Linked DNA regions of Oreochromis niloticus. The protein of the gene in region 1 purifies or fractionates together with the protein of each later gene. This does not show direct contact. Links are inferred from orthologs where the notes say so. Each region holds a gene or a part of one and is shown in the gene's direction. Other genes may lie near its edges.

Region 1 (6,848 bases):
AGAAGAAATTTCCAAATTACTACAAGTCTTGTGAGTTTTCTAGTCTTACCAGCCTTAGAAGAGGTTTGGCTTCCTCTTCTTCAAAATCCTCCAATTTAAACTCCCACAGCCTTCAAAAGAAAGCAAAGCAGAGGTTTTCTCTCAGCATTTACACGTCATCACAAACAGACTTTCAGTGTGACAGTAACTCACTGCTCTCTGAGTGTCTCCCTGCTCTTCTCCACCAAAAGATCTCTCAGATCTTCAGCAGTGAGGTTAGGTGGAATTAGATCTTCCTGCTGAAGTCTGAGAAACTCCGTCATAATTGCAATCTAAAAGTAAAAGGAGACATTTAATCACCACCACGCTCAGGTCCTCAGAAATTACCTGATATTTTCTGTCAGCTTTGGTTTGCATGAATCTGGGTCTAACCTGAGTCCTGTAGCCCGGAAGATGCCAGCAGATCTTTACAGCTGTTTCATAAATCGGTGTGTTGAACAACACCTGTCAAAGAAATAGCAATTTAGTCATTGTTACTTAAAATGATTCTCAGTTTGTCAACTTTTAAAACTACATCAAATTCTTCAAATTCTTGAAATGCATTAAAAACAAAAACGGTCACATACCCTGATAGGTTTATAGATTCCTTGACTTGATTCCATTTAGACGTTGTCAAATCACAGTCGGGAAGAAAACCTTTTAAATGCTCTCCAATGATGGCGTACGGTGGGATCTCGACCTGAAAATGCTCTCCACTCGGTGGTCTTGTCACACAGATGAGCTCCTTTGACAGTCTGATGTTTGTTTATGAATGCAGAATTTCTTGAACAGTCACCATGGAAACTTGATGCAGCTTCATGTTATTAAATTAAAAGAAAACACTGTGTATTTTGCACCACATTACAACTTCATTTATCATATAAGTAAATAAAGTGTGGGTTAGGTCACTCCTGTGAAAAGAGCCACACAAACCGACGAATCAGAAAAGACAAAGTCAACCTACAGCATGCCTTTATGTGCCTGCTTATCTCCATTTTGTTACAGTAGATGGGAACTTATGCAGTAAAGCAATGGCTTACAAAACAGTGGACTGTGGAGGGGACCAATGCAAACATTTGAAGCCTGACAGCAGCTGGTATATACACAGCTTTGGTCATTTGGATAAACTGGCCCTTTAAACAGCCCAGAGGAAGAGACCTCTGCGTTATCAGTACAGCCTAAAGCCCGAAGCACAATAATAATAATAATACTATTATTATTATTTTTTATAACAATAATACCCCAAATAATGAAGTCATTAATTACTAGGATGCCTACTGACATGTTTTCTTAGTTACTGATATTTAGAGAGGCCACATTCGTCATGCTTCACAGGAGTTCAGGAGTGAACCATGAAAGTGATGCTACGTTAGAGTCTCTCTCTGGACTGGTTGCTGCTCTGAGTTCAGCAGGAGGAGGTGAACCCACAGCTGGGAGCGGTTCCCTTAGTGGGTGGGAGGATCATACTTCAGGTTCAATATTATACTTTTGTTTATCCTGGTCTGAACCTGGTCAGAAGAACTGACTTCACTTTTGAAAATTCAGTACTTATAAAAGGTAACCCCAAACAGTCAACGGTTGTTTTCTGTCCACCAAAGCAAATTTGATTGAAGAAGTTTTTGTAACTTCACTTCTCCAAAAAGCAAATAAAGAGATTAAGCAAAGGTCTTGATGCATTCTCAATCATCCAGGAAAGTAAATCTCCAAAAGTTGAATCTGTTCATCTGGACGTAGCGTAGCTGAAGAAGTCACTTGGATGAGTGACGAAACGTTTCTCCCACAAAACGCTACGTCCAGATGAACAGATTCAACTTTTGGAGATTAAACAAAGATTTATTGAACGATCGTCAGAATTACCAGAGCTAACGTAGATCAGTTTATGCACTTGAATTAGGAGGGATAAGAAAAGCGACTGCATTGACTGCAATCTGCAATCTACTGACATCTAATGGTGAGATTTATACACGTGATAACTTTAATGATACTTGAAAATATGCCAGGAACTGCACTGCTTCAGTCTGAGCCTGTTCGGTCAGCCCAAACAGTCTGTGTAATATGTGAAAAATAATAAATATGACTTTTCCTTCCTTTTCCATAAAAAGGGATGTCTCACGTGCTCACTGCAGTTAAAGTAGTGTTACTAGAAATATTAATGCACAAAGGGCAGTAATACTTTTTAAAAGGCCTAATGACTAATCTCGGGTAACTTAGGTACACCTGCTCAACTGCTCATTAAGACAAATATCTAATCAGCCAGTCACATGACTGGAAATCAGCATGCATGACCTAGTCATGATGACCCTCCGAAGGTCAAACTTACTACCTTTAGGTGACTGCATGACATAAGACAGCAACGTTCAGGTATTTGTAATTTTTCTGCAACCTCTATCTCTGTGTTTGATCATCAGTCTGCAAAGCCAATGTGTTTTTGGTACTGTGAAAAATGTACAAGTGTACTCTGCATACTGCAACAGAGCACTGATCTTTCCTGCCACATTTATTGTGCTTAGAGTGCAATATAAGATTTTCCATTTATAATATGTTCCATACTTAACCTTTTTGGAGACTTTTATGTTGTTTGGCAGGATAATAGCATCACATTGAATTTTAGGTGTTAAAAACAAACAGTTACTGATTTTCATGTCAAAAAATAAATAAATATTCTGATGAACAGCCACTAAAGGAAGTTTTTGGAGTAACTCTCAGCAGTAATTTGGACATGAAATAGTTGGTAGACATGTTATTAACCCTATGAGAAAAATCTTTAGTTCTATTCAGGTACAGAGACATATTTAGGCTACAGGAAATAATTTTATTCAAATACAATTTATTGTCAAAATGTTATAGTGATGATCAGTGACTGCCTTTTCACAACTTACCCATTATAAAGTGACTGCAAATATTGTGGAACAATTCATAGTGTTTAATTGCTTGTGTGCTGGAATGTATTAAACACAAAAACCAGGAGCTGCAGAAACCCAGTAATGCTGAAGACGCATGCGAGGAATTTATCTGTGCGTTTATATTTGCATCTGTGTGTCAGAGTGTGTGTATGTTTTTACATTTAATTTAGGACACAGAGCATGGAGTGAACAGGGGCTATTAAGAGTGTGGCCTGTGTGTATCTATGCCAGTCAAACAGCCTGGAACTGCTCAATTTCAATCTACCTTTTTCCTGTCAGTACAGCTGCACCCCTAGCTCACACAGACACAGACAGAGGCTGTCTGCAATGTATTTCTGACATGGAACATTAACATAACATCTTAGCAAAAATTTTGTGACTTAAGAGAAACACAATAACTGAGCAGAAATACTATAATTTAGCAGAAATACTATGATTTAGCAGAAATACTGTGTTTAGCACAAATACCATAAAGTAGCAGAAATACCATGATTTGGCAGAATTACTATGTTTTAGAACAAATATTATGTCAGTCAAACAGCCTGGAGCTCCTCAATCTGCAGTGTATTTCTGGTTTTGTGGATTCCCCTTGAACAAATGGCCATATTTTCCTAACTGTAGGGATGCCTACAGCATTCACACAATAAGCTTCATACAGTTAAGCACAATCACTACATGACGGAAACACAAGCTCTATTAATAAAAATGGTATACATGTTTGCCTGAATAAAAACAAACAGGTGAGATGTTAGAAAGCTTTTATTTTTATTTTTATTTTAGTAGACACCAGGTTGCACCAGGAAGAGTATTGTACGTCACTTCCGTTTCTTCTCAGCAATGGCGTCCTCCACAGCCAGTGACGGCGTGAGTGAGGAGCAAACGGGGAAACAATCGAAAAAGATTAAAAACCAAGGTGAGTTTGATTCTTTCGCGTCAGATGAGGTTAAGTGACAGCAGCGACCCTTCCCCCGTGAAGAAGAGTATTGTTTCCCAGCTTTACACGGCAGCTGCGAGGCATGCGGGACTTACCGTTCTGCTAGCATGGCGGCTCTCGCATTGTAAACAGATTGGTTTGGTGAGTGTAGTTACCCTTACTCGCTGTGTTAAAGGGTCGCATCAAGAAGAATAACCCGAACATTTACTTTTCACATACTTAAACTGACAACTGTTTCCTGACGCCGGGCAGCTAGCTATAACCCTGCCTGGATTCAGACACGTTTCCAAAGTCTGCAGACTGAGTCGCCTCATCCAGGGGAACACATCGATGATGAGAATTTCAAACTTTTATTATTTTGGTCAGTGGACCGTTCTCCACCTTCCTTCAGTATATCTTTTCAATATTCTGTCTCAAACTCATACTCTATTCACTTTGCTTAAGTATACCTCGTGTTGGCAGTCTATGCCTCAGTTGTAATGAGCTGTAGTAACGTGACTTCACGTGCGTCCTACAGTGGATGAATCCGAACTCCTGACAGTTCCCGATGGATGGAAAGAGCCACCGTTCACCAAAGAGGATAACCCCCGCGGTTTGCTGGAGGAGAGTAGCTTTGCCACCCTCTTCCCCAAGTACAGGGAGGCCTACTTGAAAGAGTGCTGGCCTCTGGTGGAGAAGGCTTTAGGAGAGGTGGTGAGTCAGAATAAGCTGCTTACACTGAACGCAGATGATAATGCTTGCCTGTCAGCTGTATCTCAAATAGTAGCTCTATGAAGAAAGTTAACAATTTTTTTTTAACCACTTTCTTTAGTCTCATCAGGTTGTATGCTATCTTGTATTAATGTATACATATAGTTGATATAAAGTCGGTACTCCCCTTTTAACAGTTTTTGCAATGTAAAAAAGATTCCAGGAGAAATTATTTCAGGATTATAATAGTTTAATGTGACCTATCACCTGTAAAATTCAAATGGAAAAACACTGAAATCTATTACAAAAGTACCTCTTCTTTTACCCGGCCAAATCGCTACAATAACATATGCTGACCACACAACCTCTCAGGAGCAGGCTACCATGTTTTCTCTGAATCTGTTATTTACGCCATATTATAAGTGCAATACAAATTTTTGGTTCTACATTTTAATCATCTAATTGCAAAGAAAGCTTGTCGTTGTTGATATACCTTCGTTATATTGTCATCTCTCTAGTCGTCCCCATAGTTATTCAGTTAAATCATATCTGGGCTCTGGGCTTTTCCCAAACAATATCTTTCTATTGGAGGTGATTTTTTTTATTTTTTTATTTGGAGATATGTTTTGGATAAGTGTACTGAAATGGGAAATTCCTCCCCACCTGCCTTCTGCCAGGTGCATACAGGTTTTGTGCAAAAGCAGACTGTTATTTTGGGGCTGTTCATAGATTACTGCTTAGACTCTGGTTTGGACAGACTGGGGCAGTGATTCCCTTTTAATTTATCTGTTGTACTTCCTTACCCATTCTCAGCAGTGTAACACACTTTACCACATAGCCCAGGCATATGAAGAATACAGAGATAGTCATGACACATAGTACACAATCAATACTGGTGAAGTATATGGAGCTCCTTTTACTATTTCTGCAGTGATCTTGGAAGCCAACTGGATCAGTTTTTTAAAGCTTTTTTCCCCATTAGTGTTTTAGTAATGTCCCTGTTTTGCCATGGTTTCTTCCCTCTTCGATGGCTGTCTTCATTCTGTTCCACGCAATGTTTAATGCCTTGGAAATTGTGGAGATGTGTCACTGTTTAAAGGTGCCCACGACACCTTTTAAACAGTGAGATTTCTTTGATGCTTTGTAAGCTCTTTGTATCTTCAATTCAATTCAATTCAATTCAATTTTATTTATATAGCGCCAAATCACAACAAAAGTCGCCTCAAGGCGCTTTATATTGTACAGTAGATAGCACAATAATAAATACAGAGAAAAATCCAACAATCATATGACCCCCTATGAGCAAGCACTTTGGCGACAGTGGGAAGGAAAAACTCCCTTTTAACAGGAAGAAACCTGTTAAAAGCCACTTTCAGCAAAAGCCATGGTCCACAGTGTCAGAAAGTCCTACAGCTGAACTGTATTTTTTAATTCATTTTGAACATGGCCACATCCCCAGTTATAAAGATGTCTCACGTTATTTTGGTTTTACTTTTCTCCTATATAACATTTTTTTCCAGTTAAGTGTCAACTTGGCTCTTACATTGGCAGCTATACGAGGCTGAATTGCAGACCTGAGCTGTTCACATACTGAATCATTTGTTGTTGTTCTCAGCACATTAAACCTTCTTTGGACCTAATAGAAGGCAGCATGACAGTCTGCACCACTAAGAAGACCTTTGACCCTTATGCCATTGTGAGAGCCAGAGATCTTATTAAGCTGCTGGCAAGGAGTGTGCCATTTGAACAGGTAACACTACTGTGCCAGTTTGCAGCATGCACAACATGTAGATTTCATCCTTTATTGTTTTCGAGTATGTGTGTGATTGCTGTCACTAAGCACTCAGAGTGATGCAGACTTTTTGATACCATTTTACCTCAGTGATGTGTTGTTGCCGCCAGGCTGTAAGAATATTACAGGATGACACTGCCTGTGACATCATCAAAATTGGCACTATGGTGAGGAGTAGAGAACGGTTTGTGAAGCGAAGGCAGCGGCTCATTGGCCCCAAAGGCTCCACCCTAAAGGTATGTCTCACACCAGAGTCCAGCTTTCTGTCTAAGGTTAATCACGTTCATGTAGAAAATGCCTTCCACAGAGTGTTGTGATGGATGTTAGAAAAAGTAAGAGAATCCAATTTGTTTCTAAATCATGAATTGTGCATCTGTGTCACTGATTTTCACCAGTCTGCAATGTAAACAAGTCTCAGTGTTGTGCACTTTTGAATTAATGTCAGTAGGTGGCAGCATTTATCAGCCCATGTGTCTTTCCAACTCTCGTTAACAGATGATTTCTTTTGAAG
Region 2 (7,482 bases), on another chromosome or scaffold:
ACAGCCTGGTAGTTTTTGGGTGGCACTGATTTACAAGTACCTGTAAATTTGTTACTGTTGTGAGCTTGTTAGTTTTTCACAGTTTTCCAACAAAAACATCACTTTAAAACAAAGTTTACTGCTTTCTGGGGGGGGTCTTTTTGCATTTTATTCTCTGCTCCTAATTCTTATGTAACTTTTTTTACTAGTATGCTTTTATTTAAACTGCACATGATCAAAGCAACATATTCTTAGGAGTAATGTGTGTGTTTATAAGGAAAATCATTTGATAAATCAAAAAAGATTCAGGCAGCTGTTACTCAGGTCTATTCTCTGTTTTGGACTAAAATCATCTCCTCTTCTTTTGATGCTTTTTGCACAATTAATCACTTTGAAAGGATGTGTCATTTTTTTCAGTGGACATCTCATCATTTACTTTTTTGTGAAATGAATCTTTTTAGCTGAAAATATCAAATCTGTAAAACACATGCTGGGACTGAGATATCCTTCTGTGCAAAGTTCGGTCCTAACCTTATTAAACACAGGTGCTCTAATGCTATCTGCTGATGCCCATCTCCCCACTCCCCATGACTCCATTGTTCTTGGTTAGAAACTGCAGAGATTGATGAGCTGATTAAATATCTGCCTTAAAGACGAATGCTGTGACTTTAACAGTTGGCTCTCAATATCTTTACAATGTAATAGGCAAACCGTCTCTGTCACGAAACACAGCAAGAAGATCAAGAAGTGGCGTCACATAAGAGAAATTTTCGCATCATGTGTCAAGTGTTCTCACTCCAGATACTCACGCCATCATTTCAACATTTCTTATTTTTTATGGGTCTATAAAAATGTGTGTGTGCTGTAATATAAACGTCTTTCTGAATCAGAATCCCTTAAGTAAGTTGTTTAGAGCTACTTTTATGTATTTTGTGTCTGCATAAGAAAAGAACAAAGGAACTAACTGTTAATGTAATAAACATAGGTGGTAAAGAAGTAATAAGTGGCTGATATAATGTTAATAAAATTACTGGATGTTCTACTTTCTGGCAAGCAATTTTTTTTTCTGTTTTAAGCTGCACATGTACCCTGTCAGGAGGTTTATTGGTTTAAAATTGCTTGTAAGCCTTCCAAGCCTGTGGATTTTCCTGCTGCTCATAAATTGTGGTCCATCTATCATATATGGTAAATGGATGGTCAGTGCTTTTCTGGTTGAATGCAAATTCTGAATAATGTTTTTCCAATCAATTCTTTGCGCTGGTTGTGCCTAACCAAAACTTTTCATGCAAATAACACAAAGAAGTTAGCAAGTTCAGCCAACTTAGTTTAGCAGCAATAAAATGTAGCAATAAAGATTTCAGCCACTGTAGACGAATGTGAGGACAGACTGAATATAACCTACAGTCATTCTGAGGACAGAAAGACAGAATATATCCCACAATCATTCTTATGACAGATGACTGAATGCAGTAAACTTGCACTAGCAAGATTCTTTTTATTAGATAAGTTATCTTTCTTTAGGGTGACAGCACCCATACTATGATGCGCTTACTGGTTCACATTTATAAAGGAGCACCAGGTGCAGAGAAAGGCAAAGAGACCGTTATCATACACGCAGAAATGGTCTTATATTTTAACACAGTGCCTTTCATACCACTTTACGCTTTGAAAGGTTTGGAAAATAAAAAGTTATATTTAGTCAAAAGACCAAAATGTTTAAGACATCTGCAGTTACAGACAAAATATCTGTCTGTAACTGCAACAGCTGGAATTTAAATTAACCAGACTTTAAATGAAGAGTTTGGCCATATCGGTTCTTCCCTGTTTGAAGAAACTCTGTAAGAAGGAGAAGATTATTTTGTCCTTAAATTTTTTGCTTAGATTTTAAACTTAAAGAAGAAAGAAAATTCCAATTTCCAAAAATCATTTATAGCATTCAGTCAGTTCCAATTTCATGTGTATGAAAATGAACAGAGAACATTCCTCAGTCTCCCGGCTGTATAAACTGAATACTGAATGGCGCCTCTCCAGACCAAAGTCTCTATGAAATACCCTACCTTGGAACTGAGCCACACTTGTGTAACGTACCATAAACACTGTGAAGGCACCATCATCACAACCACGTAAAACTTGCCCTTCATACATGCTAGTATCAAACAGTTCTTGCGAAAGCTGGCATCAGTTCTGTTTGCTGCAGGTAAAAAAAAAGTCCAGCGTTCTGGTATTTATTTTTTTTTGTCATGCACATTGCTTCCAGATCCATTTGAAATTGATATGGAACATTATTAAAATTTGTGTGGTGTGCGGGTGTGCATGTGTGTGTATTTGATATCTGACTATATTTGCACTTCACAAGTAGGTCCATAGCCACCACTGAGGTAAGTTTCTCTGGTCACAAAGTATGAAAAATTTAGCCTACTAGAATTGAATTTCTTGAAGTGTAAAGAAAGCTTTGAATCAACATTTTGATCTTCATGAAAAAAGTAAAAAGAAAAATACAGAAAATACCTGATTTTACATTTAATTGAACTAATAAGATATGGATGTAATAAAAATGAAAAACAAAAAGAATTATGTAAAGTTGGACCTTGGTGCGCTTAAACGCCTGACTACTGATACATGGTTTGAGCCTTATTAGTCATTTTACGTTGCAGACAGTAGTCACTTAAAGGGCTACTTGGCATGTGGCCATAGATAGGGCATGTGACAATGTCCTAATGCAAATTGCATTGCACCCTCTTCTGGATTAAATGGGGCATAGCAACATAGCATTAACATGAGTAGACATCAGGCATATAGTTTTCAGCCAGTCTGAAACTTCACTATCAACTTCATTACTTCATTACTATCCATGAATAATTTTAACATCATATTATATTTTCATTGTAATAGGTTTAGCACTTTCAAGCCACAAAAACTGCTAATGAAGTGTTTACGTAACACCTCAGTAGGGATGCGAATTGAAAGAATTTAGCGATTCGGATGACATTATTGATGTGATCGCTTATCGATCATCTTATTGATTCTCATTTGGTTCTCATTGGTTCCATTTTGAGAGTCTTCACCAATGCTAACCAGCATATAAAAGACATCACATTCGTGCAAATTAATTATGTGTTGTGTGATCAAATGTTTGCACACGTTGGAGGTATTTCCCCTTTTTGTTGTGATTGGTGTTGGGGCCATTACTCAAAAAAGTAATTATTACACATACTACACTACTTGTTACATCATTTTTGCGTTTCTCCATAAAATGACCTGGAACTCATTGTCTCATAATTACCACTGAACAATATTAACCTATAGGCTAAAGTCCCACACACCAATGAAAATCCCTATTCCAATGAGGACACACATACGGTCTTTCTCTTAGTATTAAGGTATGAACCCAATGCTGACAGCACAAAGCAAAGATGAAAACCAGGACAAAGAGATCTTAAAAACCTTAAAGTGATTCTACTTTACAAACATGAACAGGTGGATGGATGAACAGAGGCCGCAGCCTGACTGTTCATCCATTTGTTACCTGTTGAAGTTCAGGGTCTGGCTGCATGTCCTGCCCTAGAGAAAACCTACGTTACCTGTTAGAAGTTAAAGGTCTGGCTACTGTGGTCTCCATTACTCAGCTTTGTCATCACTCTGGGATCCTTGCTAGCTTTTTGTAGCATGCCGTCTGTGCAGATTCTTGCAAAGAGCTTAAGTTTTTCTAGTAATATAAGGCAGAATTTATGGTTGAGCAGAGAGAGTGCATTCGCTGTCCGCTCTCCGTCTGTATGCAGTGAGCTCTGTTGTCAGATGGAGGCAGTGTACAAAGTATGTGACCAGTCTATGGGCCACTGTCCCTGCAACCACTATCTGTGTTTTTCATGATTTAATTTTTGATCTTTGAAGATTTTTCTTTCTTTTTTTTCTTTTTTGTGGTTCTCGCTATTATGGCTCTATTCCGGTGTCGTGCGCTTCTCAACCAATCAACACTGGGCGGTCGAACACCTGCACTCTCCCAACAAACTACGTTAAAACCCGCTAAATGCGGCTGCTTCTGCCCTGGATGCAGTTTGCGCTTTACCATTGCGCTCTTGTCCTTTTGTGCAGTAAACATAAAAGTAATATCTAAATGTCTCTCTGCAGGTCTCACTGCCGTTTTTCCTCCTCTGGGAACTGAAATCAGTTGATTGTAGCACAGGAGCGCAAAAAGAAAAAAAAAAGCGTGGGGCTTTTTTCTTTCTATCCACCCAGCCTGCAGATAACTTGAGAAACTTCAATGTATTACATTACTGTACTACTGAAAATGGTTAGTAGTTCTCTGTTCTCAACATCAGCACATGATCTACAGATGGTATATAGTTTTGATAGTTTTGAGAGCCTCATCTGACAACAGACGCCCTCTGGAGGTAGACAGTTAGTAGCTGTCCACGGACTGACAACGCGTTACCGCCGCAGAACCATAATTTCCCTTTAAGTATACTCGAGGCTTTACCGACAGCCTAAGTACGCACGCAGGAGCTTTCTGATTGGTTCTCCCCTCCGTCGCTCTATTGATGATGTCCTTCCTGTTCACCCTAAGAACACGTGTAGGGTGTACATTTTCGAGCTGAGGGGAATAACGACAGTAAAACATCAGCGTTCAGACACCTTCGTATTTTTTTTTCTGTGGAAGGCTTTACCGACTAAGAGGGCAACATGGTGAAGACACGGTACAAGGGGAAAAGCTCAATAAACCCCTCGACATCCAGCAGCAACCCCGGTGAGCTAACTCTCCCATTAGCCAAACTGCTTGTTTACAGCTAATGCTAATTGTTGCTAGTCATTGTCAGAGAAAGTCATTTTTGCGTTATTTTAGATAATAATAGCTTTGCGTATAAAAATAAGACTTCACAGCGGTGTGATGAATCTAAAACTTAACTTACACTGTTGTGTACACTGTAGGAAGATATAGCCTTTTGAGTTTTGCCGTGTCAAACACCTGTTTTATGAAAGTTAAACGTATTTACGGTAAAATCTGGAAACAGCTACAATCTTGGGGTGGAGAATTATGCTCCTTTAAAAATGAACGTGTACTGTGTGTCTGGTTAGTAGTGATAACTAGTATTGCAGTATATCTTGATAGGAATTATGCACTTACGTGTTTGTATAAGCTGTTAACAGCACTATACCGGTGTTGTGCCAAAAAGTGATTGCCTGCCAAAAACTGATTTCCAATGTTTCTGTGTATTTTTATGTGTAATATCTTTACGTATCTTCGTAAATAGACTTCGGTGAACAGGGTTTACAAAGGGGTTATATATAGAATTAAAAAATTATCTGTTTTTCAAGTATCTTTACAACTCTGTGTTATTGTACTTACATTATAACCAATCCGGTCCTTTATCCCCACTTAAAATATTTTTACTGAAATATTGTAATATTTGCTGCCATTTCTTCTGTCCTCTTGGCCAGCTTACTCTTACAAAAGACATTTTTAATGTTAATGAGATTTTTTTTAACTGCATAAATAAAGGTTATATAAAAGTCACTGCCAAAAACTGATTGCGGCTTCTACCTTGTTACACGAATGTTGTTTGTGGCTCAAGATGACTTTATGTCATCCATAAGGGATGCATTTGATATATGTTTCACATATTATAGCCCAACAAGTTACTTATAGCAGTTTAAATATGAGCAATCAGTTTTTGGCAAATACCGGAAATCAGTTTTTGGCAGACAATCAGTTTTTGGCACAACACCGGCACCTTACACTGAAACCCAGTCATTTGTTCAGCACATTTAAAACCATATAATAAAATATGGTTATAAAACATGAATGTTGTTGCAAGGTCCTTTAAAAAAAATCAGAGGCCTTAGTTGATTATAAATATTGTGTTTCCCTAGTAATAAATGGACTAACCAGTAAGTGCATTGTAATAGCATGTGGATTTTGTTATTGAGCCATTAAAGTAAACATCAATTTATTCGATAGATCGAGCCAAAGGTGCTGGTGGAAACAACATGAGGGACCGAGCCACTATCAAGCGCCTGAATATGTACAGACAAAAACAAAGATGGTAAGCAAATATTTTTATTTTTCTTGTTGACCTTTAATTTGCAGACTTTTTTTATTGATTTAGTTTACTGTTACAATGAAATGTAAGTGATGTGTTAAGGAAATTAAAGAGATCTTTTGTCCACAGTAATAGCCGTGGAAAAGTCGTCAAACCTTTGCAGTACCAGTCCACAGTAGCTCCGGGAACTGTTGCCAGAGTTGAACCTAACATCAAATGGTTTGGTGAGAAAATGTCTTTACTGTTGTGTATGTTATAGTGTATACTGTAAATGTAATTAAATTGGAGGTAATACCATTTGCTCATATGTTGCTCTTGTTTGAAATATTGTCAGTTGAATTTGTAAAAAAATGTTCACTACAATACCTTGTCATAATATGACTATACCATATTTCTATACTCTATATTTAAGCAAATACCCGTGTGATCAAGCAGTCATCCCTCCAGAAATTCCAGGAGGAGATGGAGGCAGTAAAGAAGGATCCATATCGTGTGGTGATGAGACAAAGCAAATTGCCTATGTCCCTTTTGCACGATAGAGTCAAAGCCCATGTGAGTATAAAGGCTTTAAAGCTTTTTCTTTAAAAGAAAATATTTTCATTGTTTGCTTGTTTTTATTTGCTGTTCTTATAGTGTGCCAGTTCATTTTAGGGAGGCTCTCAAGAAGGAATGTGACTTTGTTAGAATTTTATTATATATATTGTTATGAACAATCACCACCAACACACTGAAATTAAAATTAAGCAGTTGAGATGTGTTTGAAGTGCAGAGGTGACGTTTTAATTCAAGGAGTTTAATAAAAATATTGAATTCGTTGTTTAGGGATTACAGGTATTTTTATCCATAGTCTTCTATTTTCAGATGCTCAGAAAAAAGAAATAATAATAACTGGATGTGATCGCTGTCAGGTACTGTCAGGTATAGACCTAGCTGTATAATTAAAATGCAAACCTTGGGATCTAAACATGATAACAAAATAATAGCTAAACAACAAATTGTGTCAACAAGGGTAAAACAAAAACAAGAGTTTTAAAAGAGGACACACAGTTTGCCTGCCTGAGATGTCTAGCCATGGCGTTACTGGGCGTAGGGATCCAGACAACAAAGGCCAACTACTGCAATAAGAAAACACAAGTAAGCCTTCCAGGATCTCTAACAGCAGCTCATGGGGAGTTGGCTGGTTCCAGCTATCGTCTGGAGACGAGTCTTTATCGGCTACCTCAGAATTTTAATAAAGGTCAGCAAGGATTGATGTAATATGTCACTTTTCCAAGTATGTGTTAATACCCTGGCAAAATAAAGTGCATTGCATTGATAAAAGTATAATGGCAGCATTTATTAAGCTTGCTTACTCAGAGTTTTACAGGCAACTGCAGATGCCAGGGAGTGTACTTTATCTGACACTGCTTTCTAGTTCAGTATGGATGGAGTGTACATGAAAGTCGGCACAGAGCCTGTGACAGAA

The links. The genes of interacting proteins can lie anywhere in the genome.
Region 2: the proteins of krr1 (region 1) and gnl2 purify together in Homo sapiens (affinity purification with mass spectrometry; 3 studies listed by BioGRID and IntAct, with this or other methods). This does not show direct contact. The link is inferred for Oreochromis niloticus from reciprocal best matches to the Homo sapiens genes KRR1 and GNL2.

Annotation. Positions count from the first base shown.
Region 1 is NC_031981.2:36,711,809-36,718,656, forward strand, and holds the start of krr1 (KRR1 small subunit processome component homolog), read left to right. Parts: upstream 1-3,840; 5' UTR 3,841-3,858; coding exon 3,859-3,996; intron 3,997-4,107; coding exon 4,108-4,216; intron 4,217-4,372; coding exon 4,373-4,548; intron 4,549-6,160; coding exon 6,161-6,295; intron 6,296-6,447; coding exon 6,448-6,573; intron 6,574-6,848. Other genes in the region: uncharacterized protein LOC102080708, read right to left, coding at 50-110, 193-311, 412-483, 606-641. UniProt on the Homo sapiens protein: Part of the small subunit (SSU) processome, first precursor of the small eukaryotic ribosomal subunit.
Region 2 is NC_031976.2:27,058,740-27,066,221, reverse strand, and holds the start of gnl2 (nucleolar GTP-binding protein 2), read left to right. Parts: upstream 1-4,458; 5' UTR 4,459-4,659; coding exon 4,660-4,723; intron 4,724-5,935; coding exon 5,936-6,020; intron 6,021-6,146; coding exon 6,147-6,241; intron 6,242-6,429; coding exon 6,430-6,569; intron 6,570-7,482. UniProt on the Homo sapiens protein: GTPase that associates with pre-60S ribosomal subunits in the nucleolus and is required for their nuclear export and maturation.